Linked DNA regions of Bombyx mori. The protein of the gene in region 2 interacts with the protein of the main gene of each other region in a biochemical or structural test. Links are inferred from orthologs where the notes say so. Each region holds a gene or a part of one and is shown on either strand. Other genes may lie near its edges.

Region 1 (4,513 bases), on a different chromosome or scaffold from region 2:
TACTTAGTTTAGATAATTATTAAAGATATTCTAGGCCGGAACGTGCTTCATCTTATATAGTATGTCTTTCATAATTAGGAGCCATTGTATATAGTATGATTACGTCTTAAAATAGAGATGAGCTTACCTTGAGCGTAATCTTTCTGCGAAACGTGTTTCTCGGTCTTGCCAACATAGTCGTGTCCAACGGCTGATTTATCCATGCGGTCAGCTTGGACACCGAATTTGCCACCATATCTGTCAAATTCGACAAGCTCATAAACACACCATCTTTGATAGTATTGGTCTTTCCATGCTATTAAAGAGCCTCTAGTCATTATTTCCTCATAAATGGTATATTATATTGTTACGCGCTGGGACTCGGGATGAATAAAGCTTCCAGCGAAGTACTAATTAAAACTCTATTTAACACTTAGAACATCTTAGGAACACTTTACAATTCGCACTTCACTTCCGCTTCGCTTCACGTGATCCGTTCGCTGTTTCGCTTCGAATAGATTACCAACTGCCTTCATGTCATCTCTGCAATGCTTTTATAGTAGACACGACAAGATTACAATTATTGAGAAAGTTCACGATAGAACAAGACGTTTCGATATGTGTTTCCGATATTTGATAATAGATGGCGTTGCACATCTCGAGCGTTCTCGATACTACTAGTTCTTTTGATATTCGTTTCTGTTATTTAATGACAGATGGCGTTATTCTTACCCAAGTAACAATATAGTTTATTCGTCATATAATCTGCCTTAATCGTCACTATTCTAGGTTCACTGACCAGAGACTTTTGTTATTGAAGACAACTACAAGTATCCACTACAACAAAGTCTCAATTTAATGATAATTATGCTATATGACATCTAGCATCTATTTACTTGAGCGAGCTGACGTAACGTGCACTATAATTAATTTAACATGTTGATTTATTTTATGCAATGTTAATTCATCAATCATTAATTCATTAGTGTACTTGTTTTACTACTTAAGAATACACCTTATTCAGGCTATACCAGGCTTTATTGGGTCAGGCCCTGGAAACCACATTTAAAGTTGATCACATACCCAAATGAAGGTTTCGGTCCAGCCTCATACTGTTTCTTCTTGGCTAATTTGTCAGCTTCAAATACCTCTTCACGTAATTTTGCCATGCTGTTAAAGAATTATAATAAAATTGTAATAGGTGCAGATAATATGGGCACATATTACATAATATAATAAATACATTTAATATAAAACATGTATAGTATCTGGTTCGTATATTGAGCACTGGACCCCTTCACCGAGGGGACCTCATAACCACTCTTTAGCAAGGGTCAGTTTATATTCAACAAATTATATAATATGTAAAATAATTCCAAGTTTTTCAAGCATGACTAATTCATTATACATAAATGATATGTCTCAAAACAAATGAACATTTACAAAGCGGTTTTAACATTACAGATTGCTTTCTTTACGTCATAGGATATTCATTAGGTACGCTTTATTAGCCTGTATTGAGGTAGATCAACTTTTGTGTTTCTTAATTTAAGTAAATTAAATAATCATTTATATTTTTGAGCTTTTTTATTACTTTCATATATGTTTTCCTATCACTTTCACATATGTTTTCCATCCCATGAAAAAATATGTGATAATAGTTTAACTTTACAAACAATTATGTGTAAAATTAGGGTAGCCAATAATGTTGCGGAAAACTGTCATGCTTTCCCAAAAATATTTATTCACACTGTGTAATTGACATACGAAAATACATGTAAATGCAGTCCCAACCATGTTCTTCAACAGTATAAGCTTTATAATCGAACCTCATAAATTAGGTTAAAAAACATTGCTCACTCAATTGCCTCAACATTCCTTCCGGCGGGCCCCCATCTTTGTTCCTGTTCACTCACATCATTAACATAGTCGGGATCTGTTTCCCAATCATCTGCTTCAGCAGGCTCTGGTGCCTTCACATTAGTAGCAGCTTTCCACATCTGTGAGTGAAATGTTTGAACAGATATTTTAAAAATGACTTATGTGCAAATTATAGATTGGAAACAGGGGCTATTGTCAGGTTATTTCTAACTATAAAACAGTGTTTCCCACTTTTGTAAAATATTTATGCCCTCATACAATATAATTTTTAACATTAAAAAATTGATTTGTTCACTTAAGAAACATAAATGTTAGGTTTTAGGTAGAAATCACTATGAAATTGTTATCAGAACACAGTAAGTAATATTTCAAAACATATAATAAAAACTGAAATTCAAATTCAAAATAATTTTAATACAGATTTTCTATATTCATTTAGTGCAATTGCCCCACTTAATTATCAAATTGGCCCCTTGTAGGGCATAGGCCTCACGTAGGGAAACGCCTCTCTACAATGTAATAGAAAGACAATAAGCACTCAATTAAAATCAAAAGTAGTATCAGTTTAAAGGTGTGGAGCAAAAATGCATCTTGTGCTTGTTGTAATATTTGCAATTACATAATTATGCTGATGGTACTTGCAAAAATATCGAATGATATAAGGTTGATGATGCCATGGACAGGACGTGTAGTCATGACCCCCAGCATTGATAGAACGAGATGCAGAAGTTTTAATATTTTCTTATTTTTTCCAAATCAATTTATCTGTGTACTTACTAATACTTTTACAGACGACTGATAATATTTGCACTATCTGAAGAAAAAATTAGATAAACATTTTGATAACACGAAAAAATTATATTTACGTAAACAATCAGGTACTTATTTGATTACTTATATTGGAATAACAAAACTATCCTTTTATTGGAATAATAAAAGTTCAATATTGACTTGAGACCAACTTATTAGTAGTAATCTAATTTAATTCACCTTATTCCTTTGAACCGGTTGAGGAAAACAAACACGTTTTTAAAGTTCTATTTTAAACTTTCACTTTTAACGCATAAAAAATTATCGACTGGTTAAAATGTCATCGATATATTTTAATGGTGAGAATTTTTTAACTCTAAAAAACGTTTTCTCAATTTGTTTTTACTTTCATATTTTGTATTTGGATAAAATTTTGGGCGATGGTTTTTGTGATGCGTCAGCCTCTGACAGATGTCATCGTTGTCAAATAGAATCACAGACTATACACTAAAATATACGAGATATACAAAAAAATAAAATTTATAAAAATATTAAGTAGTTACCTACCACATAATATGTCAATAACATTATTCATTTTCTACTATCAGCTTGAGCAATTTATTATAACTGTTAATAACTCAACCGTTTAGCATATTTTTGTTTATGTGATCTTCAATGTAATTAACTCGAAGAGTGACGATCTTGGTGACGGTTCACCCAATCTGAAAGGAATGGGTGAACCACCTCGATGATCGAGGGCGAGATCAAGCTTCCAACACTGCCAGCTGAGCAATCAGCCTACGTTTTCCAACGAACACCAATTCCAGGAAGATGCTTGCCTCGTTTACCAGTATCCATCCTTTCGAATCACCACTCACGTGCGGAAGTTTCAACGATCGTCCACTTTGTGCTCATAGACCCTGAGTTTAACCCTATATCCGAAATGGCTGTCTTCGTTTACAATATGGGCGTCGGCAGGAGGCCTGTGACAAGTGGTGAAGGGGGCAAAATCCTGAATTTTCCAAGGATGCCACCAAAGTCACCCCTTCCCTTTACTATCGTATGAAAGAATAACGATCAACTCGGAGCTCAACGCATAAGACGTTGCATTGTCATTCAATGACATGTTTTAATTATTATTAAAATACATATTTTCATTGCATTAACTTTATTCCGTAAAATACAACACTTACAACTAAAATATCACAAAAAAAAAACAAACACCATACAAAAAACAACTATTAAATAAACATACTTTTATTAGCTATGTAGATACCTCCACAAACGTACCACACTATTAGAAACACGTTTACTTGATGAGAGCTTATCTGTTTCGATGATATTTGATACCAAAGAAAAAACACATACTAATTATTAAAAAAATATCTGTCATTAACTAACATTGACTAATCCTAGGTTGCACACGTTTATTTGTAATTCCTCAATGTTTAAGCAACGAAATACGAAATTCTCGATCTAGACAGAAAAAAAAACCGAATCAAATAGGTAGACAAATCAATTAATTTGTTTTTTTATTCTACTCTATTCTAATTAAAATAATACACCATTAAATAAAACAAATAGGTAAGTATATCAGGAAGATGTTTAACATTCACATACGTATTTCTTTATTAATTATTAATTTAACTCAAGCATACTAATTAAGCATACTAATAAATAATTTAACTAATTAAAGTATAATATTATTACACATTTTTAAAAGTCACTTACATCACCTGACAAATAGAAAATCTTTATTTGGGCTTTATGACCCAATTCTATTGCTGTTATTATAAAAAGTGGGTTCTATTCTTAATACGGATCATCAATATTCCATGAATTATAATGAATTACATTGAATTAAAAATAATCAATAAACTATCAAATAGCATATGTAGGTAGG
Region 2 (3,833 bases):
AAGAGTTGATTATCGTGTGTGTGATACAGGGATACTTTAGTGCGGTTTCACTGCTTTTTTTATATGCGTAATTATCAGGACATGGTATGCATTTTTTCTTTTTAATCCTTACGAATGTCGAATATATGATATTTTCTGTAAAAAAATATTTTTTGAAAATCTAATATTTTGATGCTGATAGTCGTTGTGTGAATCGTGTATGTACTTTACATCAAATAACTCAAACATTTTCATATAAAGATGAAATAGATCATTAGTGTGTGAGCATACGTGGGCGATTGCTAGTGTATAAATTTTGGCCCCAAATTACGCCACACGTAACGAATTTACGCTCGGCTAATTTGACAAGGCGAGTTTACTTGTTTAAACAAAAAGCGTTCTAACCTCCCAGTGGGTCTCCCACGCAGGCATCGAACCCCGCTGACACGATCACCAGATCCGGATTATACTCGTGAGCTATCGGCAGCACGACCTGGGTGAAGGCGGCCATGTACTCCGCGTCACCCATGCCGCGCTGACGGAGAAATAAAGGGAAGTCATCAGGACACGCATATATACTTTGTATTTTTGGGACAATGAAAAACATCTCACTAGTCGACTGATTTTCTAAACTCAAGTTTGAAGTCAACACCGCTAATATTATAACGCCATCTGTTGTCAAATAGCAGAAAAAAATAACAAAAGAACTAATCATATCGAGAGCGCTCGAAAAGTGCAACGCTATCTATTATCAAATAGTGGAAACACATATCGAAACGATTCGCCTTATCGGGAATGTTCTCAATAGTTGTAGAGTTGTTGTGTCGACTATGGAAGCGTTGCAGAGATGGCACGAAGGAGTCAGTAATCGGAAGTACTCCAAGCGAAGCGGAAGAAGTGAATTGAGAATTTTAAAGTGTTTCTTAAGTGTTCTAAATGCTTAATAGCTTTAATTTGTACTTAACAATATTCACTTCTCCCGGTTCGCTTCAGGTGATAAGTTCGCTGTTTCGCTTCGAGTAGTTCCGATTACTAACTGACTGCGTTGCATCTCTGCAACGTTTTTATAGTCGATACGACATCCCTAGAGTCGCCGAGAACATTCCTCACAAGTCGAGTGTTTTCGATGCGCGTTTCCGCTATCTGACAATAGATGGCGTTGTGCTTCTCGAGCGTTCTAGATGTTATTAGATCCTCCGATATTCGTTTTCGATATGGCGTTTACTCTTACCGGCGTAACAGTATTCTAGTTTATTACCTTATTCCAAGGTATGTTGATATTGTAGCCCTCGCCCCGCCCCGTGCCCACGGCCGTGTAGTCCGCGTCCTTCGAGTGCGGGAAGAACGAGCCGTGGTCGTAACGATGTATCGATATGTACAGTATCTGAAAGAGAAAATCGATTTTATAATCGACACGCATTTTTTGTGTGGGTTGTCTTGATTATATTGTTAATTAGTGATACTCCGTCAGACTCCGCTAGGACTGTCGTCGCTAATTATTGTGCATAACATTTTTTTTAAACTACTCGCACGCCTTCTGTCGTGCATAGGTAGTACGAGAGAAATTATGACACAAATCTTCCCTGGATTCGTGTTTATATGGCGATGCATAATGGCGAAATATAATACATGTAAATTTCGATTTATTTTTTTATTGCCCTCGTAGGCAAACGGGCATACGACCCATCTAATATTGAGTGGCTACCGTCGCTTATAGACGTCAGCAATGCCAGGGGTAAGCCAAGCAGCTGCCTACCTTATTGATTTGACATTGAAAACAAACTCAATCACTTATATATTTTACTAGCGGGCCGCTCCGACTTCGCTCGGGTCTTTAACAAAAATTTAAATATAAAAAAATATAATACACACACATTAACCCTTATATTTGCGTCAGGTTTCTAAAAATAGAAAATTATAAAGTATTATAGTTTGAATAATAATAATTATTTTAATGAACTCTAATTTTCATTTAAATAAAAATAAAAAATCTAATTTTTTATTATTTTTATATTATTATTTGTTTCATTATTGGAGTTTTAGTAAGAATCTCTCATTTAAAAAAAAATAATAATATAGCATGTCACTCTGGAAAAGTGTAGCTTTCAAACAGTGAAAGAATTTTTCAAATCGGTTCAGTAGTTTCGGAGCCTATTCAATACAAACAAACAAACAAACAAATCTTTCCTCTTTATAATATTAGTATAGAAATATAGATTAGTGATGAAGTATAATATACAGGCATTATATTATGCAAGTATCGGTCCTTTACTGGTGGTCGGACATCTTGTGAGTCCGCGCGGGTGGGTACCATCACCCTGCCTATTTCTACCGTGAAGCAGTAATGCGTTTCGGTTTGAAGGGCGGGGCAGCCGTCCAGTAACCACTTAACACCAGGTGGGCTGTTAGCTCGTCCACCCATCTAAGTAATAAAAAAAAAGAGATTACCAGTATACCAATGGTTTTTTATACGGTCATTGCTGTTTAGTGTGTGAAGGATATAAATTGGGAGCAAGTGTAGTTGCACCTGGTCGTCGGTGTAGGTGAGCGCCTGCGTGCCGTTCCCGTGGTGCACGTCCCAGTCGAGCAGCAGCACGCGGTGGGCGGCGCGGGCGGCCAGCGCGGCGTTGTTGAGCAGACAGAAGCCGGCGGGCGCGGCGCGGGCGGCGTGGTGTCCGGGCGGGCGCACCACGCACGCGGCGGCGCCGCACTGCCCCGACACCACCGCCTCCACCGCCTGCCGAGCGGAACACCGTGCCACTCAGTCTTAACCCTTTGACTGCCGTGTAGGTCACCGGTGCCCTACGCGGCGCACTCAAGTAATATTGTCGATTTCTGTTACTAAGGCGCCTGGATAACTTTTTCCTTCTTTTGTTTTAATCCTTTAGGACTCACAGAAATACATTCGATTTCAGTGGACCACCACGCCGCCTATTTCTGCCGTGAAGCAGTAATGCGTTTCGGTTTAAAGGGTGGGGCAGCCATTGTAACTATACTGAGACCTTAGAACTTATATCTCAAGGTGGGTGGCACTGTAGATGGTGGTGACGTTGTAGATGTCTATAGGCTCCAGTAAGTATGGGCACCAGTATGGGCTATGAGCTCATCCACCCATCCAAGCAATAAAACAAAACCTGCAGCACGCAGCCGGCCGCCACAGCAGCGCTGGACAGCGACTCCGGGTGAAAGTACACAGAGTCGTACTCCTCCTTCTGGTTATTCAGGTCCCGCAACTTCGTCGACGCCAGCTCCTTTAACCTGAGGAGATACAGCATATAAATAAATAAAAACACAAATTCTACAAAACATATTGCGATAAGATTGATTTTTGTTTAAATTAAAATTCTGTGTGGCGTTTTAGAATGACACCTTTTTTTTAGCATGCGTAAGCCGGAACGCACAACAGGTTGAAAAAAAAAAGATAGTCTGTGACAGCATACTATTTACCTCCGAAATGGACTTTTTGGCGGAAACCCAAGGAGTGAAGTTATATTATGATTTGTTTTATTTTGTATATTTAGTGTTTCTTCGGGTTTAATGTGTAATAATGTTGGTTTATTAACTGTTTAGTATCTGTGAAAGTACACAAATGTAAGTAAATCAAACAAAGCCGCTAAACGTAACTTATCGGGATCCTACAAACAGTCCATTGAAAAAGTCTACCAAGTAAATGACCATTATTTTACTGAGATTATATTTCATACCATATCATCTAATCTCATTTCATTTCGTTACATATTATTTTCATATGAAAAAGAATATAAATTAAAATAAGACTTGACTTAAAGGTCTCAGTTACAAGGTCATAAAATCCTTTATAAAAAAAACTTCCGAAATAAGACGATAAATAAAAT

Evidence for each region.
Region 1: the proteins of histone deacetylase 6 (region 2) and src substrate cortactin form a complex in vitro, tested with the Homo sapiens proteins (3 studies listed by BioGRID and IntAct, with this or other methods). The link is inferred for Bombyx mori from reciprocal best matches to the Homo sapiens genes HDAC6 and CTTN.

What each region holds. Positions count from the first base shown.
Region 1 is NC_085113.1:1,684,635-1,689,147, reverse strand, and holds the start of src substrate cortactin, read right to left. Parts: upstream 3,119-4,513; 5' UTR 2,851-3,118; intron 2,682-2,850; exon of another isoform or gene 2,638-2,681; intron 1,980-2,637; coding exon 1,840-1,979; intron 1,150-1,839; coding exon 1,063-1,149; intron 238-1,062; coding exon 128-237; intron 1-127.
Region 2 is NC_085111.1:17,650,144-17,653,976, reverse strand, and holds part of histone deacetylase 6, read right to left. Parts: intron 3,238-3,833; coding exon 3,114-3,237; intron 2,717-3,113; coding exon 2,507-2,716; intron 1,364-2,506; coding exon 1,238-1,363; intron 515-1,237; coding exon 385-514; intron 1-384.